7 linked regions of the Callithrix jacchus genome follow. The protein of the gene in region 2 purifies or fractionates together with the protein of the main gene of each other region. This does not show direct contact. Links are inferred from orthologs where the notes say so. Each region holds a gene or a part of one and is shown on either strand. Other genes may lie near its edges. The genes, in order: ABCB10, SLC39A4, LETMD1, VPS45, AGPAT4, LEMD2 and MGAT1.

Region 1 (2,771 bases), on a different chromosome or scaffold from region 2:
ACAAACTTTGATCAGGAGGAATGAATGGGACTTTTAATTACAACATGTTTTTCTATTTGTGTAATGTTAGTCTTTTCTTTTTTTTTTTTTTAATCTCAGACGGAGTTTCGCTGTTGTTACCCAGGCTGGACTGCAATGGCATGATCTCGGCTTACCACAACCTCCGCCTCCTGGGTTCAAGCAATTCTCCTGCCTCAGCCTCCCGAGTAGTTGGGACTACAGGCACCCACCACCATGCCCAGCTAATTTTTGTATTTTTAGCTGGGGTTTCACCTTGTTGACCAGGATGGTCTCGATCTCTTGACCTCGTGATCCACCCACCTCAGCCTCCCAAAGTGCTGGGATTACAGGTGTGAACCACTGCGCCCGGCTATGTTAAGTCTTTTCTGGATTCCTGAATCTCCACAGCCAAATTCTAGTAAGCAACAATGTAGTTTTATAAGAAGTGACAGACTGCTGCTTTGGTTCTTAGGTCATTAAAAAAAAGTGACAGACACAGATAAAGTTCACTATAAATTTTAATCTATGATTAAAATATTACCTAAAGATATAATTGAATATCATGTATCAGAAAATAAAACATAACAATGAAATGCAATTTTGTAAATACTTCTATGGTACAAGGATTATTTTTCTCAGATTCAACCTTGTAATTATGTTTTGTTTGCTTTCTGAAAATCACACTTTATAAAGAACACAAGTAGAACTTGTTAAAATGATTGTCACAGATATACTGTTTACTAATTCAAAGAACACTACATTCATTCATTCATATCAATTTTATTCATTAATAAATTATGAAGAATGAAATATAATATTCCATGTTTTTCATGAAATAGTGGTTTCGTCTTCCAGTCTAATCAGGGAACTAATAAATGCTTAGTTCATGGAAATACTTCCGTTTTATTTACACTGACATAATTACTTATTGGAGTCTAGCCTCATCAGTGGAGAAAAAGCACTTTTTCTAAAGGCAACAGCAAATTAACAGCACTGATACAAATTATAGCAAATTCAATGGTTGTCAGCATTGCTTTAGGAATTTTGAGACTTAATAAAACTATAACCATAAATAAAAGGGCTTATTAATGTCTTCTTTTCAGGAGAGTGATACATTCTGAAGGTTTTTTGTTATTCTGTTGAATAGTAAGAACTTCCAAACTTAAATGTCTTAAGGCTAAATGGTAGTTATAGTCCTCAGATTTTAGCCTTATTAATGAAATTCTAAAAGTATTATAAAAAAATGAAGATTCAATTTGTCTTGGAATTATAAATTTGTAACAGATATTTTTCAAAATACATGCCTTCAAACAACTTAAATGCAAAATTCATTCATTCTTAATACCCAACAGTTAATGCCTTGCTTCCCAAAAGTACTCATATAAACATTGAATTAAAAAAACAGGTTTTCCTGTGTAAAAAATGCAGTTTCTGCCCTTTTAAAAACATGTCAGGCTTTCATGTGCCAAAATGTTGAAAACTGCACATACTGAAACATAGTTCCCATAGGAACACATATTCCTCAACTCTCACACATTTGAAGACACAGGAGATGGGCAACATAAATGTTCCCTTCTTTCCAGCTGACTTTAACTAGTTAACCAGGTTTGCTTCATGAGATTATCAGAATAAAATAAAGGGTTAAATTTTCATTTTCCATTACTTTACCTAGTAAAATTAGACTTAAAGCAGGTGGAATACTACCAGAAGAATTACACAGTGATTGGTAAACTGGCCTAAAATAATCAGGCTTTTTATTTGTAATTCCCTTTTAAAAGTTGTCATTTGACAATAACTTCAATCTTTAACAGCAAGGAAAAGAAAATGAGGTGCCATGCTATATTCATTAAAATATTTCACGATAAAAGAAAATACAAAACCTGAAAATAACTTCAGTGCTATAGACATTTAAAAAGTTGCAATTATTAAAACTCTGAATAAAAAGATCTTGAGAACAGGTACATTTCAAAATAATATTTTACATACTTTGGAAAAAATAGGTATTTTTCAAATAACTTGTTACATAGTTTACATATTTCATATAGTCTCTTTTTTTCTGCGTCACTATTTTGTATTAAAGTCTTTCATATTGTTTACCAGTAATTGCTTCTTTATGCTGACATAAAACTTTGTTTGTTCATTAGTTTTCTGTATATCCCATTTGGTTTTGAAAGCAGTTCTTCATGTTTTCCATATTCAGTAATTTTTCCTTGGTCAAGAACAGCAACCACATTAGCATTCTTAATGGTGGAGAGACGATGGGCAATAATTAACACCGTTCTTCCATCCATCAGTCGATCTAGAGCTTCTTGAACAAGGAACTCATTTTCAGCATCCAGCGCACTGACACAGGAGCACACACATAAGAAAGCAAAGATGTCAGTGCCAGCCGTACTCCAGGCTCATGTACTTCCTGATACACAGCGGCCCTTCCTGAGCAATGAATTTTTACTAAGATCAAAATTTCAGCTGTTTGGGACTCCTTGATCTCCATAAAACTATACTGTGATATAAGGAGAAAGGCATTCTGTACAGTTGCAGCTTACAGAATGATTAGGATTGATAGCAACCATGTCTGAAGTGGACCTAGAACCCTCAATTATGACTCAGTCTGCCCACTGCTTTTCAACTCTCATTATTTATTCAGCCTCCATCAATTTAAAGTAAAGGGGGGGAAGCATTTTCAGTTATATCCACTTTGAGGTACAGAATTAAAACGTTTTGGTGAAGAAAGAATTTGGTTTCCTACATATAATCACATAAATTATTAA
Region 2 (4,059 bases):
GCCAGGTGGGCTGTGGGCTGAGGCCCTCTTCACTGTGTGTGTGCAGCCCCAACACCTGGGGAGTAGGGGCACTGGACTGGGGGAGGGGTCTCAGGGTACCTCCTCCCCAGACCCAGGGAGAGGGGTCAGGGTTCAGTGCTGGGGTGGGTAAGGGCCCTGGAGGGCATGGCCTGGGAGTCCAAGGTGGGGAAGGAAGGGCGGCGGTCAGGGAGGGTTGTGGGGGACAGACCTTGGGCATCAGATGCAGGACAGCGTCCCCAGTGAGTGCACCCACTGCCAGGCTCAGGAAGGTCTGCAGGACATAGTGGGTGACCCCCCTGCAGCCAGTGCAGGTCAGCAGCAGGAGGCCAAAAATGGCACAGAGGCAGATGAGCAGCGTGGCCAGGGAGCCATACAGATAGCCTGGGGGCAGATGAGGCCAGTGAGAGCTTTTCTTCTAGACTCAGCCCCTGCTTCTGGGGTGTTGCTCACCGGGGCTGCAAGTGCTCAGTGTGCGCCAGGCCTTCACTCAAGCCGACCCTCCTGCCTCAAAGTGCCACTCCCCTCCTGGAGACCCCCCTTTCCCTGTGTCTGCTGTTTCTACCCCCAGCCCCTGCCTGCTCTCTCCATCCCTCATTCTCTGCAGCCACTTCTTCCTCCCTCCATGGGTCCCACCTCCGAGCTGCCAGCGCAGTGCCAGGGCAGGCACTCACTCTCTGCCTGGGTGAGCTGGTCCTGGACGGGGGGCCCATGCTGGGAGGTGCAGGCTCCACTCAGCTGCTGTTGGAGCAGGGCAGGGCTCAGTTGGGCCCAGGCCTCCGGGGTCACCCCTGCCTCCTCCGACAGTCCATACACAGCCATCATGTCCCTGGCACTCAGGCATACCTGGGAGTGGCAGGACAGGTCAGGGGCCTGAGCAGACCCCAGTGGGGCCAATCTTACCCCAGGGCACAGCTCACCGTGTCCCACACGCTGGAGCTGCTGTTGGAGGTAGAGAGGGGCACAGGGTCCTGGCTGCTGGCCCTCCTGTGCTGATGACTGTGGTTGTCATGGGCCTCCCTGCCCACCCCCAGGCGCCGCATCAAGGCTGACAGCTCTGGCAGGGAGAATGGTCGGCACCATGAGTCTGTGTGGGCTCCAGCCCTGCTGCCCAGGGACACAGAGGCTGGGGCTCAGGGGCGCCCCCATCCACAGCCCAGCCCAGGCCTCACCGGCCAGCGTGATAGGAGCCTCACTGCCGTGTTGCTGGAACACAAAGTCCACAAAGTACTGAGGGCTGGGCAAAGCGAGGAAGCAAGACCCGCTCCTGACGTGGTCCAGCAGGGCAGCCAGGACGCCCCCAGCACTGCCTGGAGCCCCCGCCTCCACAGCCTCCTCCAGCAGCTGCGGGATGTCTACGCAGGCCTGAGGAAGAGGGGCCTGGCCTCAGCCTTCAGTGTGACCTTGTATGCAGCTCTGCCACCCACCCGCTGGATGCATCTCCCTCCAAGGCAGGATGTGCCCCACCAGCCCAGCCCTCCCTGGAGCCGCAGCCCTCCCTGCTGGGACCAGCTGCCCCAGGCTCCCACTCAGCCCTCTGGTTCCCTCCTCATGAGACCCCCACCTGATCAGTAGTGAGCCCCACATTGTGAATCCCCAGCCCGAGGCCGACCCCCAGGCATCTCTCCAGGCCCCCAGGCTCCCTAAAGGCTCTGCAGGCCCGGCCCCCTTGGCTGTGGGGCCCTCGTCACCCATTCCCCTAGTCTGCCTGGTCTCTCTCTCACCGTCTTGAGGGCCTGGCCAGCAGCCCGGGCTTGCATCCTCTGCAGCAGCCTGCTCAGGCCCAGGATCAAGCCCTCAGGGCTTTCGAGCCGGGCCAGGAGGTCATCCGCATGAGAGGCCCAGCCGCCAGCCTGAGCGCCCTCACATATGCCCTCGGGGTTGCTGAGGTACAGGGCAGCAGCGGCACTGAGGCGGGCGATATACCCAGTCTCCAGGACTGGACCCGGGGGTTCGCCCAGGCTCAGGGCATCCTCCACAGAAAAGCACTGTGGGCAGAGATGGGTGGGCAGGGGCGCTGGGCCCACCAGGGAGAGGAGAAGCCAGCCCAGCCAAGGGGCTTCCCAGCAGGCCCCTTCCCACTCCTCTCCCTCTCATGTCCAACAGCATCCGCCACCCATTCTCAACTCCTTATGTCCTTCTGTCTCCCCAGGCCCCTGTTCTGTTTCCCCAACTACGGGGTGCATGCAGAGGGGTCCCCAACAGTGGTCCCCCATTCCCGGGGGACTCCCCTAGAGCCACTGCCAATTTGATGGCTGGGGCCAGCAGGGGGAGGTGGCCCCAGGGTCCTGGGGAGAAGAGGGGCTGTGTGTCCATGGAGAGGCAGACCCGTCTGCCCCCAATGAGCAGAAGGGTGGGCTCTAGCCTGCAGGCAGGGCAGGGTGCCCAGGTACTACTGCCAGCCTCCGCCGCCTCCTGGAGTTTGCCCAGGGTCCTTTGCTGCTGGCTAGCAGGGCGGAGCAGGCGGCAAGAGGCCAGGGCTGCGGGACCCGTCGGGTGGGGCTGTTACCTTTCCACACGGCCCGTTGGTGCAGTGCACACGGTCCGCCAGCGTATTTAACAGGCTGCCCAGCGCCTCTTGATCCAGAGCGCCCTGGCCAGAGGTGAGCAGGCTCAGCAGACCAGCAGACGGGGACGCCGTCACCGTCACCACCAGCACAGCCAGCAGCAGCCCCAGCTCTAGCGGGACCAGGGCCGCCATACTCAGCTCCCAGTGTGCTCAGTGGGTGTTGCTTCTGGGCTGGCTGAGGGCGGCTTTGCTGGGGCTGCCTGGGGCCAGACTGGGGCTGGGCTAGGACCCGCCCGCGTGAGGACCTCTCCCAGGTATTCCTGCAGAGCTCTGTGATTGGCTGCTGGAGTTACCTGGGTTAACCATTCCAGCGGCAGATCCTCCCCGACAGCCTGGAGCCACTGCCTGTGGGGGGCAAGGGCTGGGCCCCTTCCCCTGGATGGGCAGTCTGGGTATCTGCTCCTCTGCCAGCAACCCCCCAAGCTGTGAGGCAGGGCCAGGGTGTCCCCTTCTGGCTCTCCATCTGGGGGCTGCTTCCAAGCTTGGGGGACGCAGGGCAGAGGTTCACAGATGCTCTTAGAGCCCCAGGCCCAGGCCTCGGCCCCCTCCTGACAGCCCTTAGCAGAGGCTGCCCAGACGCCCTTGGTGGCCCGGTTGGGGGTGGGGACATGGGCCTCTCTCCTCCTGGGTCATGGGCTGTGGTCCCTGTTGGGGACGGTGATGGGGTTGAAAGAACTGAAAAGGTGCCTGCTGCGTCACGCTCCTCTAGGCTGAGGACAGCCCCAAGAAGCTCCAGCACAGACAAACAGGAGACGGACCTGGGTCCCAGCAGCCACCTGGCCAGGCTTGTGTCGGGACAAGGTTGGGGCAAGACCCCAGCTCTAGGCCTGGGGGCAGGGAGGCTGTGGCTCCCAGCCCTGCCCTCCCTGCGGACTCCCTCTCTGGCCTTTGAGCCCAGAGGCCTTATCTCTACTGCGGTGGTGGAGGCAGGAAGTCTGGGGGAAGGGGCAGCAGATCTCAGGGCAGCTTTGCGAAGTGGGAGCCTGGATGCCGCCTCCTGCCCAGCCCAGCCAGCCTGACCCTGAGTGTTGTGGGTGGGGCTGGGGTGGGGAGCTGGGCTCCTGAGGCCCAAGGACTCTGTCCTGCCATGCACAGGGCAGGGCGCAGCAGGGCAGGACGGGCATTGGGCCCAGTGTCCTGGGGTCAGGGTGCTTCCCCTTCTGGCCTCACCTTGCCATGCAGCAGATCTCATGGTGTCCTTCTCGCTAGGCCCACCCACAGTGGTATCCCTCTGGGGGCCCTTAGGGGAGACCACCTGTGGGTGTAGAAAATTTCTGGGTCCCAGGACCACAAGGGGGGCAGCTCTGCACACAGCCTGAAGATGCTGCGGACCCAAACTGGCCCTTTCTCTCCCACATGACCCCAGTACCAGTGGCCGGCTGGAGCCTCCCATGGCTCCAGAGCCTATTTTAGCTTCAGGACAAAGGTCTTGGTCTGGTCCTGACCCTGTGCCCAGTCTGTCTGCACACAGC
Region 3 (4,227 bases), on a different chromosome or scaffold from region 2:
AGGGAAATAAACTCAGAACTAAAGTAACATATCCAAGGTAACATTCACAAAAAGAAATGGCAGTGCGAAGATTGAACCTACATCCAGGGCACCCACCTGGGATGCTCTACCACCCTCCATGAAGATTGAATATTTATATATATCCAGGAGGACTGCTAACTCTTGGAGGCAGTTGAGTACCACTTCTGAGAATCCTTCTTAGTTTCGAGTATTTATTCAAAAATGTTTATGGAGCACCTACTATGTGCTAACTATGGCAGAGTTGGAGGTGCAGCAATGAAGAAGGCAGAGAAGATGCTTACCCTCATTCTAGTTCAGGGAGCCATCAAACAAGGACACAAATATATAAACACTATAAGTGACAGATGCTATAAACAAAATACAAGGCTGGGCGTGGTGGCTCACGCCTGTAATCCCAGCACTTTGAGAGGCTGAGGCAGATGGATCACAAAGTCAGGATATTAAGACAATCCTGGCCAAGATGGTGAAACCCCCTCTGTACTAAAATACAAAAAATTCACCGCGTGTGGTGGTACACACCTGTAGTCTCAGCTCCTGGGGAGGCTGAGGCAGGAGAATCGCTTGAACCTGGGAGGCAGAGGTTGCAGTGAATCGAGATCGCGCCACTGCACTCGAGTCTCGGCGACAGAGCGAGATCCTGTCCCAAAAAAGAAAAAAAAAGAGGAGTAACATTAGAATAAGTGTGAAGTGTGTCCTTTTTTGCTGGCATTACTTCAGATAGGGTGGTCAGAGAAATCCTCTCAGAAAAGTAACATTTGAGACAGAGCTTGGTCTTCGGTAGGCTCTTAACGAAAACCATTTTCCCACAAACTTAGTTCTGGAAACGACAAAGAAAGGAAAAAGTGTACTTAGTCTGCACAAGGGCCGCTCCCAGGCCTCCAACATTCGCTGCCAGACTGTGACTGGAAAGTGGACAGTTCCCGGCCTATCCACGCCGCCACCATTAGAGGACGCCGCGGGTCCTCCCAGTCCCCAGGAGGCGCCATGGCCCCCGGCACTGCCAAACTGACATCTGGTACCTAACAGTCGAGGCCCCGACGCCCCGCGTCCAGGAAGAGGGCAAGGGCGGAGCTGGGAAGCCATGAGGCCCTAGGGAATCGCGGAGGGTCACTGGGCCCCTCAAGGAGAGGGCGTCCTCGGCATCGCAAACCCACACCAGTGGCATAAGAACTTGCTCCCTCAGGGACAGCCTGTTTCCGGCGCCTTTAAACCAGGAAGTACTGCTGTGTCCAATCCTGGCCCTCCTTTCGCACTTAGTCTTTGAGTCCTTCCTCTCCTGGCTTGTGCTGGAGCCAAGGAGGCTAAGGCTACCAATCAGCGCTCAGAAAAGGCGCATGCGTCTTCGAACGAACACCGCAGACGGTTAACTTTGACCCAAAAGCAACCTCCCCTCTCCCCCTTCTCTCGCTGTCAAGATGGCGCTCTCCAGGGTGTGCTGGGCTCGGGCTGCTGTGTGGGGTTCAGCAGTCACCCCTGGACATTTTGTCACCTGGAGGCTGCAACTTGGTCGCTCTGGCCTGGCTTGGAGGGGCCCTCGGTGAGGGACCTGTAGCGAGAAAAGCATTTTTGACGTCCAGGCTCTCAGTGTCTGAACCTTGCTTGCATTCTCTCTTAATTCTCAAGAGTTCCACGCCTTGGCCCTGGAATTTTTCTTCTTCTGCTCAGGATTCAAACTGCGATCCCCAGCCATAGTGATGTGGCTTCCTGGCCCTCTCTACTCTCAGTGCCCCCATATTGTCTGGTCTCCCCGCGTCTCCTGAGCTCATCTTTCAGCCTCACTTTTTTCGGCTCAGGTTTTGCCGCTATCTCGATTCCACCTCTCTCTGACTTAGCCTGCAGTTCAAATTGTCCCACAGGCATTGCGCTCTCTCCAGAGTCATACCCTGAGTTCCTTTCCTGCCTGGCCTTTGCTTGATCTTTGTTTCTCAGTCTGATTGCCTATCTCTTCTTGACCCCAAGATCTTCCTTGGATTTCAGAAGTGTCAAGCCTTGGCATACATTCTCCGAGACTCCTGCTTTACGTTAGGGACTCAAGGCGTGAGGGAGCTTCTAGGACCGGTTCCCAGATAGTCTCTTTGATCTTCCTTGTAGGTCTTCAAAGCTTCACCTTTCTCCAAAGGCAGATGTGAAGAACTTGATGTCTTATGTGGTGACCAAGACAAAAGCGATTAATGGGAAATACCATCGTTTCTTGGGTCGTCATTTCCCCCGCTTCTATGTCCTGTACACCATCTTCACGAAAGGTAAAAACGGAACTATAAGAGAAATTCCTGAATCAGCTCTTGGGCAGGATCAGAGAGTTCGAATAAATAAGATCATTTGCAGGTTCTGCTATGGGGATGTGAGCCAAGATATCTTATATTTCATAAATGCTTGTGCCTTAAACTAATTCTTATAAATTAGCACTTCTTGAGAATGTTTCTAGAAAGATGTTACGAGAAACAACTTATGACAGCAGCACGATGGGGGAGGGAGAATATAGGTATGTTCTTGGACTTTTCTTAACCACACACCTGGCTATAGTAGAAATCTTTTTGTCCAGCGCAGGGCAGGGATCTATGGCTGTACAGACCTGCCCTGTGATTGATTTCCTGTGACCCATAGGAAAATGAGGTCTAACCCTTGTTACAAATCTATGTTAGGTAGCATGTTGTAGTGGAAATAGCACTGCATAATACTTGGTTTCTAGATGTTTGGTTTCAAATCAGAGATCCTTAGTTACTAGGAGATGATATGTGTAGTGCCAGGTGTCTACTCTGGAGCCAGAGTGCCTGAATCACATTTCAGCTCATCACTGTGTGATTGGACTAATTAACTAACCTCTCTGTTTTTTGTTTTTTTAATCTGTAAAATGGGAGTTATAGAACCTACCTATTTATCACATGGTTGTGAAGATAAAAAAAATCGATATATGTAAAGTACACAGAACAGGTCCTGATCCTTAGTAAGTGCCAAATAAATGTTAGTGATTGTTATCTAAATGATAGATAACAATATTGTAGGTTGGTACAGAAGTAATTGGGGCTTTTGTCTTTCAATGGCAAAAACCGAAATTGCTTTTGCACCAATCTATAATATGCTCTATGATTTTTTTTTTTTTTTTTAAAGATGGGGTTTTACCATGATGGCCAGGCTGGTCTTGAACTCCTGACCTCAGGTGATCCACCCACCTCGGCCTCCCAAAGTGCTAGGATTACAGGCGTGAGCCACCGCGCCTGGCCAATATGCTCTATGTTTTTATCATAACACTGTACTAAACTTCACTGTCAACTCTGAACATTATCTTATTACTAGCTTCATGGACTTGAAAAATTACTTATCCTTAATCTGTAAAGTGGAGATAAAATTGGCTGCTTTTTCTGTTCTCATGTAGATAAATAGGATCAAATGAGAGAAAGAGATGAAAGCATTTGTGTTTGTTTTTAAACTTTGTATTATGGAAATTTTTAAACATACGCAAAAGTAGAGAGAATAGTGTAACAAAGTTCCATGTATTCACCTCACTTCATTATCGTAACTCATGGCTGCCAATCTTCGTTTATATACTCGCCTTAGGTATTATTTTGAAGACAGTTGAGACATCATATAATGACATGGAAATCATTGATAAATATGAAAGCCTTAAAAATAGATGCAAGAATTTTCATAGAATGAAGATTTAAAATATAGAAATATATTCAATTAGATTACTTTATTTATTTATTTATTTATTTATTTTGAGACGGAGTTTTGCTCTTGTAACCCAGACTGGAGTGCAATTGCACGATCTCGGCTCACCGCAACCTCCGCCTTCTGGGTTCAAGCAATTCTCCTGCCTCACCCTCCCGAGTAGCTGGGATTACAGGCACACGCCACCATGCCCAGCTAATTTTTGTATTTTTAGTAGAGACGGGGTTTCACCATGTTGACCATGATGGTTTCAATCTCTTGACCTCGTGATCCACCCGCCTCGGCCTCCCAAAGTGCTGGGATTATAGGCATGAGCCACCGCGCCGGGCCTATTTATTATTTATTTATTTATTTATTTTGTGACGGAGTTTCACTCTTGTTACCCAGGCTGGAGTGCAATGGTGCGATCTCAGCTCACCGCAACCTCCACCTCCTGGGTTCAGGCAATTCACCTGCCTCAGCCTCCTGAGTAGCTGGGATTACAGGCACGTGCTACTGTGCCCAGCTAAGTTTTTGTATTTTTAGTAGAGACGGGGT
Region 4 (4,110 bases), on a different chromosome or scaffold from region 2:
AATCTTAAAGCAAAACATTTTAATAAATCTTTTAAACCAAAAATCACTTCTTCACAATATGCTAGGCAAAAATAACAAAGTGAATTAAAAGATTCCTAAAAGTTCAGAACATGTGGAAAAAGGCAAAAGATAACAGAATATATAAAATGAAAAAAAGAAAAAGGAAGAATTGTTAAAAGAGTTTGAGAGACAATACATAGCAGTGAGTTTCTCTAATAAAAAACGTTAGGAAATAACGAACAAGATGATCTCTAAGATCCCTCTTGAACCAAATTTTCATGACTAAGTGCTATAAATATGAAACAATTGGAAACTATTATAACATAGCATGTATTCATGAATTCGGCAACTATTTATTGAGTGTCCACTGTGTGGCAAGCATTGGGAATACAGGATGAGAAGAAACAGATATTGTGTCTGTATTCATGGAGCTTACTGCTGGTAATCACGCACACCATACAAAAGTTCAAACCATGACAAGCAATAGGGAGATAAAGATGGTGTTGTAAGTGCATATAAGAGGCAGGTTTGACCTGGTCGGCAAAACCAGGAAAGCTTTACTTGAGGAAGTGAAGTTCACAGCAGAGGAAGAGGCCTATGCAAAGGTCCTGCGGCATGACGGAACAAGGGGAATATAGCGGATTGAAAGATTAGGGGGGCTAAGGTGCAGAGTTCAAAAGTGAAATGGTTCAAAATGAGGCTGGAGAAATGGCAGAAACTAGACCATGCTGCACCTCGCGGCCTACAATTAAGGAGTTTTGTCCTTATCATAAAAGCAATGAGAGGTCATTCAAGAATTTCAAGCGGAAGTGTCATGATCAAATTTGCATTTCAGAAAGCACATAATGTACAAGCATGGTAAAATGCATTAGAGTTGAAGAACATGAATATGAAACAAGAAAGTATAAAAAATAAGATGAAAATAAGAAAGAATTTTAATTTTTAATTTTCTAAATTTTATTTTATTATTTTTTTTAAAGATGGGGTTTCACCATGTTGGTCAGGCTGGTCTTGAACTCCCGACCTCAGGTGATCCACCCACCTTGGCCTCCAAAGTGCTTGGATTACAGGCGTGAGCCACCGCGCCCGGCCTAGGAAAGGATTTTCAAAGGAGAGACTCAAGCTAGATTTAGAAGGTGATGGACAAAAACTGACAAATGACCAAAGAACTTTTAATTAGTGAAAGAAGAAAAACAAATAGGGAACAGGAATGAGCATGTAGAATGGCTCATTCCAATGGCAGCCTAGCTGGCTATAGAGGAGAAGCAGATCTAGGACATAGGAAGGCTGGATACAAATGTGCAGCTCAACTAAAGAAGGGCTTTAACTGCTGGCTAAATAAAGATTTAATCATGGAAGTAACACTGAGTCATTACAGGTTCCTGAGCGTAAATGTGAATAAAGTGGTAAAGATTCAAGACATTCATAGCTGTACATAAAATGAAGTGTTGATGGTGTTCAATGTGACAGATACAGAGGTTAATCCAGGAATGAAGCCATGTGGTCTCTGTTGAGAGTAGCTCTTTAGTGGCAATGGGAATAGCTGTGAACCTAAAAGATATCTTGAAGGAAGAACTGGCTGTAAGGGGTCAACTGAAATATGGAAACAAAACGAGAAGAAGGTTATAACACTGATGATCCAGGATAGTTATGATGCCACCGATAATGATAATTACAAATCATGATAATACAAATTTATTTTGCCGTCTTAATGCTTTCAGATCAGAGTGTTCTGCATCTGCCTGGGCAGATGGCAGCCCAGTTTATGCAGTACCTTTGTAGGTCGAAGAAAACAAATTGCCTTCAGGTGTTTCATGATCTCTCGATTTTGAGAATCAATGCGTTCAAAGAGGTACACTTCTTTCTGAAGAATCTCCGACTGTGTGTACACCATACTCACTATGCCAGTCTGTAAAAACAAAGAATTAACTAAAAGTATGCTAGTCTAGAATAATAAAAACAAGTAGCATATCTAGCCTCTTTTTTCATTAATACTTAGCTGGATAAATTAAATAGTAATATATGGAATAACATTTACTGAACATCCAAACAGGTAGGTAACATACGAGAATGAAAAATATACTCTATCCTTTCAGCTGAAGCTTCAAGGTTAAAAAAAAAAAAAAAAATCCTCTCTTTTAACAGGAACAATCCATACATTTCCAAAAATAATTTTTTCTATCACCTTAACGAGTTTTGTTTTCTGGTCTTGGCCCACAAATAACCTGTCATTTCAGCTTGAGCTCCAACAGCTTTACTTTAAAACACAATGTTGAGTGGAAACAGTGGGCCCATCCCAAAGTCTTCCAAGTGCTCTGACATATTCATGATTTCTTTTCAGAGGCTTTTAGAAAAAGATTTCTGATTCCAATAAATTGTTCCGGGTAGAAGTAGTCTCTGGGCAGTGGCTGGAGCCATTTAGACTGAAAATCCATCGTACAAGCTTTATACAACTTTTCAGTCCCACACAAACTGACCCCATTTTCATATCTTTACATTAAATGCTAAATCCTACAGTGGAATGAGACCAGCCTTTGTAAGGTTGAGAGGGTTCCTTCACAAATGCTGAGCAAAAGCAAACTCACCGTCTCTTTATCCATGAGAAGTACTTTCATACCAGGCCCGCTGTCCTCTATCATTTTGGAAATGTACTGCTTCACAGCAAAAACCACGTTCATGGTGGCGAATTGACAGGTGTCCCAGAGCCCTTCCCGCCCCCTTTTCTGGCTAAATTAACCCCCCGGTTTGTTGGCGGGGTCTCAGCTGCTTCCTCCCTGCAGGGCTTGGCTTCCGGGAGTCCGGGCAACCACGGTGCTGGGAGTTGTAGTTCCGCTGGAGAGTACGGGGGACCAAGCCTACCCCGGAGATGGAAAAATCTGGCTGAGACGCCCTGGGCCGCCGCCACGCGGGGGCGCTATTCTACACCCGCATGTAGAGGTGTCTGTGGCCGGGACTCTAGACCCGGTTTGGCCTTTGGTCCCGGAGGCCCAGCCGCAGCCTGAAGCCCAGGAGAGTGGAGCCTCGCAAAATGAGGAAGCTGGCACAAAGCTTGTTTGGAAGCAGGAACGACGGATCGGGGCCATGGTCACTATCTGCGATTAACGCTTTCTTGCGTGGTAGCGAGAGATGAGGGCAAGGGAGGTGGCCTAATGCTCCCGGCCATTTGGGACTCAGAGAGAAGGCATTTAATAAACCACGCGCGGTATTTGCGCAGCAGTGGTCGAGATTCGTCTTCCTGGCTTCACCGGGTCATTAATAAGGCGGGAACAGTGCCTCTGTGTTGGGGCTGCAGAGGCCTGAATTGGTTTTCCCAAGACAGAGGGCATATGAAATTGAACAAATGTTTGTTGAATGAACAAAGGGAACGCCTTTTACGGATGTTTTGGGGAAGAGGACTGCGGTTCCAGCTAGGGTCGGCCTTGGGGGCCCGCAGCCTGCAGGACCACCGGACCTGCGAGTGTCTCTCTCTGCCCTGCCCCCGACTCAGCATCCTGAGCAATTGAACTCTGCCAGCTCCAACTCGCGCGCTGAAACTGCAGGCAAGAGCCGAGTTGCCTGGGTCCTTTGAAATGGGTAGGGAACACGTATCCCGTAGAGCTAAAACAAAGTAGCGTGGGGATTCGAAGCAAAAACTCTCAAGTTTTTATTGAATCTTGAAACCATCAACTTGGAAGGTCTGCATTTGTGTTTACACCACACAGATCTCCCCCTATGAAAAAGAGAATAGATGTTTGGTTTTTGCCCCTTTACTTTGGGGAATTGTAAAATCAGGAAGATGAGAAACAAGTGCTAGAAATCAGTAACTATAAATGCTTATGAATAGTTTCACCAAAATAATGACAGAGTTTGTGGTCAATAGATTCAGCGTTACCAAATAAATTCTTTATATTGTAAGAAATACACGATTAAAATAACCAATAGCACTTTAGCATTAATGTGCTTGAGATTATGCAACATTATATACAATTTTCAAATCCCTTAAGGAAGATCGGAACCACTGAAATATAAGAGATTTTTGTCACCTCTGAAACTGTGAAGAATGTGTTTTGTTTTGTTTTTCAATTTTTCTACCAAGTAAATAAAGCTTCCCTTTAGGCATTTTCTAATTTT
Region 5 (3,500 bases), on a different chromosome or scaffold from region 2:
TGCCAAGTGCTCGGCCTGGCTGCACAAACTCTACCAGGAGAAGGTCAGTGCACTGGGCACCAGGGGTCCCTTCATGTCACAGCTGTGGACGCGCCGTGCTGCCGTGTGGTGGCACAGGCATTTTCCTGGTAGGTGAGATCTCACAGCCAGTTATTAACGAGTCTGCAGCCAGCCCTCTCTCAGCAATAAAGAACATTATCTTTTAAGGAGGGGCTGGGCACAGTGGCCTATGCCAGTAATCCCAGCGCTTTGGGAGGCTGAGGATGGAGGATCACTTGAGGCTAGGGGTTTGAAACCAGTCTGGGCAACATAATGAGAGCCTCTCTTTACAAAAAATTAAAAAAATTAGCTGGGCCTAGGGGTGTGCACCTGTAGTCCCAGCTACTGGGGAAGATGAAGTGGGAGGACCGCTTGAGTCTACGAGTTCGAGGTTACAGTGAGCTATGATTGTGCTGCTGCACTCTAGCCTGGGCAACAGAGCAAGACCCTGTCTCTAAAGACAAGTAAGTGAAAGCAAGCTACATCCAGAGCTGTCTTGTGGAGGCCAAAGTCGGGAGCAGCTCTGGGTGGCACGCAGGCATGGTAGCCAGTGGGAAGCAGTGTGCCCCCTGCTCTGGCCCTCAAGGACAAGGACCACTTTTAGGACTGGCAGTTGTTTTTTCACTTAAACCGGAAGGGTCATGCTCCTTAGAGGGGCAGCAGTGGCCTCAAGGCTCGGCGCCCCAGTAAGTCCTTTGCAAGTCCTGGCCGTGCACTCGGGTGATGCCTGTGGCCTGAGGCCGAGGCTTGCGAGGACTCCTCATGGAGCCTGCCCCACCCACACCTGCTAAGAGGAGCCCCTTCTTCCCTTCTGTTCCCCCGCTTTCTCTTCTGTTCTTTTTTCATTCCTGTTCTTCCTCCCCTCCTTCCTTCCCCGGGGCCCTAAGACACATTATCTTTGCTGAGCTGAGCGGCTGGGAAGCTGAGCAGATGTGCTCTGTGCAGGTCTCCTCCGGTGAGCCTTTGTTGCCGGCTGCAGGAGGTGTTTGTCCCGGGAATCTGCCCCATCAGTAGGATCTCGTCCTCCTTTCAGCTTGTGGGTTGATGCTTCTTTCTGGAAACAAACAGACTCTCCTTCGTTCAGTGACTCCATTTCCCAATTCCAACTTTATACTGTGCCAGACAGTAACATACAGAAACAAAAACACGAAGTCCTTTCCCTGTGGGGCAAATTTTACTACAAAATGAGTTGTAGGACCAAGATTGGTCGTGGACATTCTGCTTTGGGAGCCTGAAGTGTGGCCGGAGCTGGCTGCCCTGGTCTCTCCCCGGCTGTCTGTGGGAGGTCCTGTGGCAATGTCATGGGCCAAAAGTGAAGGGTGGGGGTGAGATTTAGTGTTTTAAACCAGAGAGAAAGAAAACTTTAAAGTGAATGGGGCCAAATGTGGTGGCTCACACCTGTAATCCCAACACGTTGGGAAGCTGAGGCAGATCACCTGAGCTCAAGTGTTCGAGACCAGCCTGGCCAACATGGTGAAACCCCGTCTCTACAAAAATACAAAGCCAGGCATCATGGCGGGTGCCTGTAATCCCAGCTACTGGGAGGCTGAGGCGGCAGAATCCCTTGAACCCAGCAGGTGGAGGTTGCAGTGAGCAGAGATGGTGCCTTTGCACTCCAGCCTGTGTGACAGAGCAAGACTCTGTCTCAAAAAATAAAGTGCATGGGAAGTTCTGAGCTGTACAGCTCACAGAAAAGGGAGTGCTTTCTTTTTCTTGCTATTGATGCAGATACAAAAATCTTGGCCTAGCAAATGTCTTTCTGGAAACAAGACAGAAAAAGGCACGATGATGAGTTCCCCTCTGTGATATTACCATAAAAAAGTACTATAAAGACTATTACGGAAAATTCTTTCAAAAACCACATTTGCCCATTTTTAAAATGGGTTTTATGGCACGGAAATGACACCTTAAGAAAGCCATATATATATATATATATATATATATATATTTTAACAAGGTGCAAAAATATCACCCCCTTGCCTAGTTCCCAGGTGTCCCATGGCCCCAATCCAGGAGAAGAAAAAGCAGGCCAGGCTGGTGGGCAGGCGGAGTGCTGCTTCCTTCCCTGGCAGGGTTGGGTGCCACCTCTCTGGGCGTCGCCTATGCTGCTGTCATGGTGCTCACCTCTTTGTGTGAAATTGCTCGGTCTCCTCCACCATCTGATCGCTCTCACTGCTTGAGGGTGTGCTTGGCACACATTGATTATTCTCTAACTGCTTGATGATGTGGCTTCCCTTGGCTGATGTCCAAGAGCAGAGTCACATGACAAGTGACGCTTTGGACCAGGCTTGTGAATGGGCTGCAGGGGGCCGAGGACAGAGCAGAGGCACCTGAACTGCCCAGGGAAGGGCTGGGGGTTCTCCTTCCCAAATGGCCTCATTAGTGACTAATACTAAAAGTGACTCCGAGAGGCGAAGGAAGCCTGTGATTCAGTACACCCTGAATGGAAAAGAAAAGTGTGAGGTACTTCAGACTTTTCTATCTATCTCAAGTTGTTAAAGGAAAACAGCATAAATTTCAATTATATGGAAGCTCATTTTCCAGAAAACTTGACTCCTTAGAGAACTGGGAAATTACCGGGCTAGTTCATGGGACACAAACTGGACCTCGCCGTGACTCACGCGTTTTGTGTGTCAGCCACGTGCAACTTTCACAATAGCTGAGGCAGCTGCCCACGCTACAACCTGGGCAACTCCCTGTGGCTGCCTGGCTCAGCTCTGCTCCCCTCCTCACGGCCAGCACCACCCCTGGTGCATGTGGGCTGCCCCGCAGGAGCCGAGGAGAACTGGCTGCGGAGAAGGCCGGGCCGGGTGGCGAGCTCCTCCCTGACTGCCGGCCAGGTTTCCATGGAGTATCCACTCCCATCTCCCACTGACTTGCTGTAGAAGGCACTGCTGCCCCATGAGACAGACCGGGGCCTGGGCTCAGGGATGCAGGCGCTTGCCCGCAGCAGGTGGATCCTAGCCCAGGCTGGCCTGGCGCCAGTGCTCATGCTCCATGCCCTGCACTCAGTGACAGCTACAGCAGCCCTGCCACTCCCAGTGTCCCTGTGGGAGGGGGCAGCTGGTTACAGCATCGAGAAGACAGCAGCTGCCCACTAAGCACTCTCTGGAAGGAGCCACAGACCCCAGTTCTGCCGAACCCCATTGGCACCCGTGTGTGTCTGTGATTCCCTCAGAAGTGGGGCCTTAGGAGGGACCTGCCACCAAGCCCCGTGTGGCGTCTGAGGGTCCCCTTTCTATCCCCTAGGATGCCTTTCAGGAGGAGTACTACAGGACGGGCACCTTCCCGGAGACGCCTATGGTGCCCCCCAGGCGGCCCTGGACCCTGGTGAACTGGCTGTTTTGGGCCTCATTGATGCTCTACCCTTTCTTCCAGTTCTTGGTCAGCATGATCAGGAGCGGGTCTTCCCTGACGCTGGCCAGCTTCATCCTCGTCTTCTTCGTGGGTGAGTGGAGGGC
Region 6 (3,500 bases), on a different chromosome or scaffold from region 2:
TACTAATTCCATCAGCACTGCATCCAGCATAAGCCCCTTGGGCAGCTCAGCCTCAAGCTGGATAACTGGATGCATGGCACGATTAAAATTCGTTGACTTAAAAAAAAAAAAAAAGCTGCCCTGAGTAGCTGAGCAATTTTCCTGTGTTAGAAAAGGTGGAGAAGAATACGGATTTTATCCTCAGCAGCAGTGCTCACTGAAGCTGCTAACACAGAAGAACGATGACACTCGCCTTTTCATGTTGGGGAAGGCAGCCTGGAGGGTGGCTGAGCCACTCAGGATGACCATGTTGAAAGTGGGTCCTGAGAAATCAGGACACTTGGGATGCCAGCCCTTCCAGCGTGCAACATCAAGAGCATGATATTCTCACCCTGGGCCAGCTAGCTGGAAGAAGGCTCTGGTGTCCACATCTCTGCAGGTCCTGACACCACCTGGCCAGAGACCATGGTGGCGCTGTGGCTGGGGTCTGGCCTCGGGGAGCCTGGTGGTTTTCATTCCCCATGAGCCTCACGGATGCCCTGTGATCTTTACGCTTAAACAGCTTCTGTGCCTCCTCGTCGCGGAGGAAAAGCGCAACCTCCCAGATTCTTTCAGTTCTTGTCATGCAATTGCAAAGCTAGTGATTCAGTAAACATTTCCATTTCTCTATGCTGGGGGGTGGGAATCCAATTTACAGTTTAATCTCCTGCACGCTGAGAGAGGCTGTCAAAGACCCCACAGAGGGGGACATCGCTTTAGCGGTAGGGGCTCAAATCTGCTGCCGTCTTTAAAGCTTTATTCATTCTAAGTAGCCAATGTGGGAAATTTCTGGAAAGCGTGTAGCCAGGATACCAAGACAATTCTATAAGCAAGTAGAGGCCTGACGTCCCCTCCTTCTTTCCCTTCCTTCTGTTTGAAGCGCCTTTCTTTGGAGCTCTTGAACATGTTTAGAGCCCTGTGTCCTTTGCAGGTTGAAAGGAGAAGACCAGTCTGAACTGGTGACGACTGTGGACAAGGTGGTCTGCCTGGAATCTGCCCGTCCCCGCATGGGTGTCGGCTGCCGCCTGAGCCGCGCCCTGCTCACTGCTCTTACCAACGTGCTCATCTTCTTCTGGTGTAAGTCTTTGGCCGCTTTCCCTCCCCTTCTATGCAGTCAGGTGCACTCCTGGGTGAGTGATGAGCTATAGAAATTCCCAGGCCCGGAGGGTTTATTTCTGTCTAGTGAACCTGAGGTCTGTCTCATAAAACAGAGGAGATGAACAAGTCAGCCTCTGCCCGGAGTTGTCTTTACCTTTGGAGATTGGTGGCAGGAACGTGAGGATAAGTAGAAAATGTCCTTGATTCAGGGCAGGGGACTGTCAGGTTTCCTGAGTGGGAGCCGGGCCTGGGCAGGAGCCGGGCCCCACCCCTTCTGGGCTCTGCAGGAATGCCAGTGTGAACCAGCTTCCAGCAGGACGCACAGTCGGGGCTTGGCCTAATTTTACTCCTTGAAAAATGTAAACATCTCCTGGAGAGCTACAGATACCTGATGAAAAGCAAGAAGGACTCAGGGTGCTGAGCTGAAAGGAGAGCACCAGTCTCATCTCCTGACATTAGGGGCTGCCTTTGAGCAGAGACCTCAGGGTGTCTCTGAAGGCAAAAGGCCAGGTCGCAGAAACCACTGCTCTCCAGAGTCAGTTGGAGCTGCAGATCACAGACCGCCTCGGTGTACACACAGCTCCCTCCCCCACACCATCAGGCACAGAAATCATTATCGGCAGCAGCATCTCCGAATACAAAGGGCCCTGGCATGTATATATGTATGAAACACCGCGTTCTGGTTCACAAGGGAGGAGATGAAAGCTCCGGAATGAGGCTGGGAGGAGCCGAGATCTGGACGGCTGGGGATGCCGCTGTGGTGACAGCCGGCGGGAGGAAGATGATCACTTAATAGTCTGTCCTCCTCCTGCATTTCTTGGTCCTTTGTTTCCTGCATGCTGGCCCTGAGCCTGACACGTAGTAGGCACCCAAACCCATGTGGCAGATCCCCGATGGCCTCCGTCACAGTGTCTTGTCGTTGGTGAGACCCACTGCCACAGGAAGTGTGAGGGAGTAATGGTGTTTTGTTCCCTCACAGGCTTGGCTTTTTTGTGGGGGCTCCTAATTCTCCTGAAATATCGGTGGCGGAAGTTAGAAGAAGAGGAACAGGCCATGTATGAGATGGTGAAGAAGATTATAGGTGCGTGGCCCCCCAGTGAGAAAAGGCCTGCCAGTGCCAGCTGGAAGGTCCTTGCCCTAAACGGTGTGCTCTCTCCTGCAGACGTGGTCCAGGACCATTATGTGGACTGGGAGCAGGACATGGAGCGCTACCCATACGTAGGCATCTTGCATGTGCGAGACACCCTGATCCCTCCACAGAGCCGGTGAGTCCCTGGCTGGGGCACTGGGCATGGGGTGAGGCGGGGTCTGACCCCAGTGAGCACTACAGAAGGAAGCCCAGAGCCTTGAGTCAGATGTCAGCCAACGGCAGCACATCCCCCAAGGCCAAGAGTGGCACTGTTCTCCCTCCTGCTGCTCCCCAGCGTGCTCAGCTCTTTATGGCAGGATGAGCTAGAGAAGACGTATGAAAGCGCAATCCTGCACCTCTGTAGACAGAACACTGGCAGTGGTGATACCAGTTGGGAGGCCTTGGGCTCCATGTAGTAGCAGCACCCTCCCCGCAAGGTGCAAGTAGTGAAGGATCTCCCAGGTCTCTGCAAGTGAAGCTCAGAGCTGCGTGGGCTCCAGGCACACAACAGTCAGGTCTCTGGTTCCACTGCTCTGTGATTCTCATGGTCCCACATTCCTCCATGGATGTTATCAGCAGGCTGGGATTCCTGATGGTTGCAGATGGTGGCCAACAGCAGTTAGGGCACTGTCTGCCTTGTCACAGCCAGCAGGGGACAAGTGGGCCTCCTATTGCTCTCTTAGAAGCAAGAGAAACTGTTCCCAGTAGCCTTCAGTGACACACTCCTTGAGGCTCTGTTGACCAGAATTAGTTACTTGTCTGTTTATGAGTCAGTCACTGGCAAGGAGGAGGAGATTGTTTTTCAAACTTTTTAAACCATGACCCTCAGCCAGAAACACCTGATACCTGCAACTTCGTGGTCCAGTTCCCACACACTCATGCATATACATGTAATTGAAAGCAAAGTTTCACACCAGTGAATGGGGTCAGCTTCCAGGGCACATGGTTTCATGGGAAGGGGTGGCAGGGCCATTGTCATGCACAGCTGCAGGGCTTCCACAAGGGCTGTGACTGCCAGAGTTGTACACTGGGGTCTGACAAAACCGGGGTGGAGAAGGGGACAGAGTCCCAGGAGATAGTCAGCAGGGCCCCCAGTGTTAGCTCTGGTTGGGGTCCCTCCCCAGCAGACTCTGCTGTGTTTTCTGGCTAGATGCTGTCATCTGCTGGGTGATGCTGAGAGCTCACCCTTGCTGAGTGCTCGCTGGGAGCCAGGCACTGCTCGGAGCTCTCCACAGCTGCAGACTCACTCCTGTGG
Region 7 (4,063 bases), on a different chromosome or scaffold from region 2:
AATTCTTTAATCCAAGTTCTCCTTGGATCCATTCACCTGTTCTACAACTTGACGATCTCAAGTATTATTTAACAAGAGGATGAAACAGATTCAGGGGCAGACTTTTAATTAAGGACATCTTCTTGGGTTCTTGCCAGCACACTATTTCAATAAGAAAACAGAACTCCTAATTTGGAGATGTTTCCGTGCTTTTAAAGCATATTGAGCAATATCAGTGTTATTGTTTCCTATGAGCATGGCCCTGGATACTTTTCAAAATCCTTCATTGTTTCATTTGCCCCTTGTAACAACTTGTGAACATGGAAAGTTAGTTTTTCCCCCATTTAGTAGGTGAAGAGAACATGGCAGAGATTAATCGGCCTGTGTAGGGTTGAACACTGACTAAAAAAGTCAAAGCTAGAACACAAGTACTTCTGACTCCCAAACCTATGTTCTGTTACTCGGCTCTTTTGCTGAGCTTTCATGGCCTAAGCTCCCGTTTTAGAAGGAGGAAGAGAGACAACTTAGGAGGTTATCTAGACCATTCCCACCCCCTCCCCCCTACCAACAGTCCTATTCAGTTAGCTCCCCAAAACAGAGCAGCTGCCTCTGCCCAGGTAATCCATTCCAGTCTTAACCCAGACTGACTTGGAATCCTATTATCTCCCTGTTGGAAGGGCCCTTAAACGTCAACTAATCCAACCTCCCTTCAGAAGCCTGAATTATTTTCATGTTCTCCTTGGCCTAACCTCACAACTGCTATTGCTCACAATCCAAGGCATTCATCCAACCTGGGTAAGGAGAGGTTGGGAACAAGTATACATCCGGACAGAGTAAAGGAAAGGTGTAGCTTCCAGTGTACCCATCTGAATAAGACTTACTGAATAGTAGTCTCGGCAAACACACTCGCGCAACACCTGCACAGGCGCAGCAAGTCACTAAGTGGGAAATGAGACAGGAGCCTTACCTTTCTTGTCTCAGCTGCTCCCCTGGAGATCGTCAAGCCCCCATCCAGCACTCCATTTCCAAAACTGAGAATCCCAAATCAGATCCACCAAACAAAGTGCAGCTTCTCTCTTCCTATCCAGGTCCAAAGTCCATGGCTGAGCTGACCCTGAAGGGGAGGAGTCTGGGGGGGAAGGGGTGTGTCCAGGCCCCTCCCCCCCCACTGCAGACTTCAGTGCCACTCTCAGGGGTCCGTTACATCCCTTCATTCAGCTGCCTTATTAAGCTCAGAGTCTGGTGATAGACAGATCCCAGATACTATCCCATCTCTTGCTCAAGCAGGGGAAGTTATCCACTGTGAGAACTGGCCCATAGTCTTCTGCTGGGGCTCATGAGAAGAAACAGGTCTTAGAAGCCGCATGGCCCAGGAGGCAGATTTCGGTGTTAACCTGCAGAACATTTAAACATTATAACATTCTCTAATCTAGTATATACCCAAATAGAGTCTTAAAACCTTCTAGTTTCCACTCCCTACCTACATTAAGAGTCGATACTAGGCTCTATCATCAAAAAACCCTCGTTAAACGCTGCACAAGATTATACAAAACATCTACTTAGGTATCACACGCCAGAATAGTCACCTCATCAAGTGTTTATATATAAACATATTATATATATGTACAAACATATACGTGATTCAGGATAAAATATGGGTGGTACCCATTCTCACCACAGAAAAATTACTGAGGACTGTCTTCTAAGAAATAGAGAAAATAACGCCCTTTCTCCTGCCCTCCCGTCTAAAGCACAACATAATAATCGAAACTCCCAAGCTTCTTAGGGTGCTGTTTTAATTCACCAGCCTTCTTCAACTAAACTAGTTAATAAATCCTTTCCAGACCGAGATGTTGGCACCTTCCACATGCATTCTTTGCTCCTTTTCCTTCAACCCTCAGCTCCGCCTCTGCTTGCAAAACTGTGCCAGAGATATAATTCCCAACCACTGTCAAAGTCCTTCCCGGGGCTAGAGAACACTCTGCTGGAATGCTTAAGGCCCGAATCCTGCTTGCAGTACCCCCCCAGTGTCCCCATTTCTCAGCCCGGAAGCTCACCCCTGTCGCCCCCCTCCCCTCCAAGTTTATTCCAAAACAGACACACACACACTCTCACACTTTCCCTGTCTCTGTCTCTCCCCCTCCCTCCCCCACTGCCTTCCTGTAGGGGCGTGGCGTCCACATGACCTCCACCCCCTCCAAGAATTTAACTCCTCCCACCCTTCTCCCCGGAACCCCGAGCTCCGGGTTCACAGCAGGGGGTGACACCGCGACCCTCCCTGGACTCCGACCCCCACCGGTCCGCCCTGCGGACGACCCTAGCCCTAACTGCGCCGGGTCGTTACCTGGTGCCCACCCGCCCGGTCTCGGCTAGGAGTCGCGGCCCGCCCGGGTTAGCAATCCAGGACCCAGGCCCGATCCCTTGCGCCAGCCCAGGCCCCACCCCCTCGACCCCCGACGGCCCGGCCCTCCCCTCGCACTCCTTCCCCCCTCCCACCATCCACCGCAGCTACTTCCGCCCGCATCCGGAAGTGGGCCAGCAACGCCACCTCCCACATCCCGCCCATTTTTCTACCCGCCCTCCCCCCACCCCGTCCCCAGCCCTTCACCACCGCCACCACGGAAGCGAGGGAGGTGGCTCGGCCAGGCCTGAGATTGTTCTACAGCCACTGGTCACAGGGCTGAAGAACAGGTGTGGGCAGAACCAGGTTGTGAGAACGAAGTCGGGGCGCAGAGTAGCGGCCGTACAGGAGGGGGCGGGGCAGAAGAGACTGGCCGGCTGTGGGAGCGCGCGGCTCCTGGAGCCACGCGGGAAGAAGCACGCATGCGTCAGCCCTCCGGGTGCTAGGTGGGGCTTGAGCGGGAGGGGCGGGGCGAGGATGCTGAAGTGAGGACGGAGCCGGTGCGGGGCAGCCCTGCTCTCTCCCTCCGCCCAAAGGTCGCCCAGCAACGGCCCGCTTGGCCTGGCTTTTCGAAAAGAGCGCTGCTCCCCTGCTTGTCGCGGGTCCTGGCGACAAGGTTTTCAGAAAGCAACGGGGCTTGTGTGTTCCTGCTCCTCGGCTGGGGGCTCTTGTGTAGCAGTAGTTGAGGAAGATTCTGTTTCGTTCATTGCTGCTGTCTCTCGCTGCCTCTCTTGACGAGACAGGACTCTTGCAGGGTGCGCCCGCGCTTCCCTCGGACAAGTGCTGGCCAGGTACCTGCGGCCGGGCCCGCCGGCGCGGAAGCCGCCCAACCGAGGCTGCCTGGAGGAGGGCGGCCTGGCCGGCGCGGCCCTAACAGTCGTGCCCGGGGCTCCTCGCAGGCAGCCTCCGGCTCCTTCAAACATGGACTCTTAAGTTCCAAAATTGCCCCGCGGTTTTTTCCCCTCACGCTGAATCCAAGGAACCCGCTGCTCGTTTTTGAAGTTCTTATGCAGCCCTCTCCCGCCATTTTCGAGAATCTTGCCAGGACTGGGGATGGATTTGCCGCCTCCGTTTTTGCCCCCTTTTTCGAAAACCGGAATCTAGGCCTGGTCTCCTGGCCTGTGTTGCGTCATGGGATGTCTCCAGAGCACGGACTGACTTGACTGGAACATTAACAGTACTGGGATTGTAATGGTTGCTGCGTCAGGAGTCTTGAAATGATTTTTTTATTTGGAACAGTATAATATTTGGGACTTTCTTAATGGAAAAAATACATATTGCTTAATTATATATTGCTTGGAATATATTATTCCAAGGAGGAAGAAAATAAGACCCTTTTCTTCCCCCATCTCCAAACCTCCGCCCACCTGTCTTTCCCATCAGCATTAATGGCGGCTCCCTTCACTCAAGCCAGAACCCGAAGAGCCAGCCTCACTCTCTCACACTGTTGACACAATCTGATTAGAAACCCTGTTGACTCTGCCTTCAGTCTGTGTCTAGGCTGCATCATCTCGGCATATCCACAGCCCCGCTTCATCTCTCACCTGAACACCTAGGTCACCCTGTCCTCTCCACCCTCCCAGTAGCTGTCATTTCCGCACAGCAGCCACGGGAATCCTGTCGTTTCTTTGCTCCAAACCGCACAGTGGCTTCTTAGTTTGCATGAAATAAAACGCTAAAGTC

What was found.
Region 1: the proteins of SLC39A4 (region 2) and ABCB10 purify together in Homo sapiens (affinity purification with mass spectrometry; 3 studies listed by BioGRID and IntAct, counting the BioPlex papers as one, with this or other methods). This does not show direct contact. The link is inferred for Callithrix jacchus from reciprocal best matches to the Homo sapiens genes SLC39A4 and ABCB10.
Region 3: the proteins of SLC39A4 (region 2) and LETMD1 purify together in Homo sapiens (affinity purification with mass spectrometry; 3 studies listed by BioGRID and IntAct, counting the BioPlex papers as one, with this or other methods). This does not show direct contact. The link is inferred for Callithrix jacchus from reciprocal best matches to the Homo sapiens genes SLC39A4 and LETMD1.
Region 4: the proteins of SLC39A4 (region 2) and VPS45 purify together in Homo sapiens (affinity purification with mass spectrometry; 3 studies listed by BioGRID and IntAct, counting the BioPlex papers as one, with this or other methods). This does not show direct contact. The link is inferred for Callithrix jacchus from reciprocal best matches to the Homo sapiens genes SLC39A4 and VPS45.
Region 5: the proteins of SLC39A4 (region 2) and AGPAT4 purify together in Homo sapiens (affinity purification with mass spectrometry; 3 studies listed by BioGRID and IntAct, with this or other methods). This does not show direct contact. The link is inferred for Callithrix jacchus from reciprocal best matches to the Homo sapiens genes SLC39A4 and AGPAT4.
Region 6: the proteins of SLC39A4 (region 2) and LEMD2 purify together in Homo sapiens (affinity purification with mass spectrometry; 3 studies listed by BioGRID and IntAct, counting the BioPlex papers as one, with this or other methods). This does not show direct contact. The link is inferred for Callithrix jacchus from reciprocal best matches to the Homo sapiens genes SLC39A4 and LEMD2.
Region 7: the proteins of SLC39A4 (region 2) and MGAT1 purify together in Homo sapiens (affinity purification with mass spectrometry; 3 studies listed by BioGRID and IntAct, with this or other methods). This does not show direct contact. The link is inferred for Callithrix jacchus from reciprocal best matches to the Homo sapiens genes SLC39A4 and MGAT1.

What each region holds. Positions count from the first base shown.
Region 1 is NC_133520.1:21,036,244-21,039,014, reverse strand, and holds the end of ABCB10 (ATP-binding cassette sub-family B member 10, mitochondrial), read right to left. Parts: intron 2,344-2,771; coding exon 2,112-2,343; 3' UTR 501-2,111; downstream 1-500.
Region 2 is NC_133517.1:53,215,004-53,219,062, reverse strand, and holds the start of SLC39A4 (zinc transporter ZIP4), read right to left. Parts: upstream 2,801-4,059; 5' UTR 2,720-2,800; coding exon 2,528-2,719; intron 2,007-2,527; coding exon 1,743-2,006; intron 1,384-1,742; coding exon 1,191-1,383; intron 1,076-1,190; coding exon 939-1,075; intron 865-938; coding exon 693-864; intron 403-692; coding exon 230-402; intron 56-229; coding exon 1-55. UniProt on the Homo sapiens protein: Selective transporter that mediates the uptake of Zn(2+). Plays an essential role for dietary zinc uptake from small intestine. The Zn(2+) uniporter activity is regulated by zinc availability.
Region 3 is NC_133510.1:68,390,127-68,394,353, reverse strand, and holds the start of LETMD1 (LETM1 domain-containing protein 1), read left to right. Parts: upstream 1-1,427; 5' UTR 1,428-1,436; coding exon 1,437-1,558; intron 1,559-2,111; exon of another isoform or gene 2,112-2,112; coding exon 2,113-2,264; intron 2,265-4,227. UniProt on the Homo sapiens protein: Plays an essential role for mitochondrial structure and function, as well as thermogenesis of brown adipocytes.
Region 4 is NC_133519.1:9,988,385-9,992,494, reverse strand, and holds the start of VPS45 (vacuolar protein sorting-associated protein 45), read right to left. Parts: upstream 2,801-4,110; 5' UTR 2,679-2,800; coding exon 2,586-2,678; intron 1,910-2,585; coding exon 1,775-1,909; intron 1-1,774. UniProt on the Homo sapiens protein: May play a role in vesicle-mediated protein trafficking from the Golgi stack through the trans-Golgi network.
Region 5 is NC_133505.1:167,620,959-167,624,458, reverse strand, and holds part of AGPAT4 (1-acyl-sn-glycerol-3-phosphate acyltransferase delta), read left to right. Parts: coding exon 1-43; intron 44-3,288; coding exon 3,289-3,487; intron 3,488-3,500. UniProt on the Homo sapiens protein: Converts 1-acyl-sn-glycerol-3-phosphate (lysophosphatidic acid or LPA) into 1,2-diacyl-sn-glycerol-3-phosphate (phosphatidic acid or PA) by incorporating an acyl moiety at the sn-2 position of the glycerol backbone.
Region 6 is NC_133505.1:42,070,276-42,073,775, reverse strand, and holds part of LEMD2 (LEM domain-containing protein 2), read left to right. Parts: intron 1-949; coding exon 950-1,095; intron 1,096-2,095; coding exon 2,096-2,197; intron 2,198-2,278; coding exon 2,279-2,381; intron 2,382-3,500. UniProt on the Homo sapiens protein: Nuclear lamina-associated inner nuclear membrane protein that is involved in nuclear structure organization, maintenance of nuclear envelope (NE) integrity and NE reformation after mitosis.
Region 7 is NC_133503.1:73,372,577-73,376,639, forward strand, and holds the start of MGAT1 (alpha-1,3-mannosyl-glycoprotein 2-beta-N-acetylglucosaminyltransferase), read right to left. Parts: upstream 2,801-4,063; 5' UTR 2,588-2,800; intron 2,435-2,587; exon of another isoform or gene 2,324-2,434; intron 2,134-2,323; exon of another isoform or gene 1,655-2,133; intron 1,374-1,654; 5' UTR 947-1,373; intron 1-946. UniProt on the Homo sapiens protein: Initiates complex N-linked carbohydrate formation. Essential for the conversion of high-mannose to hybrid and complex N-glycans.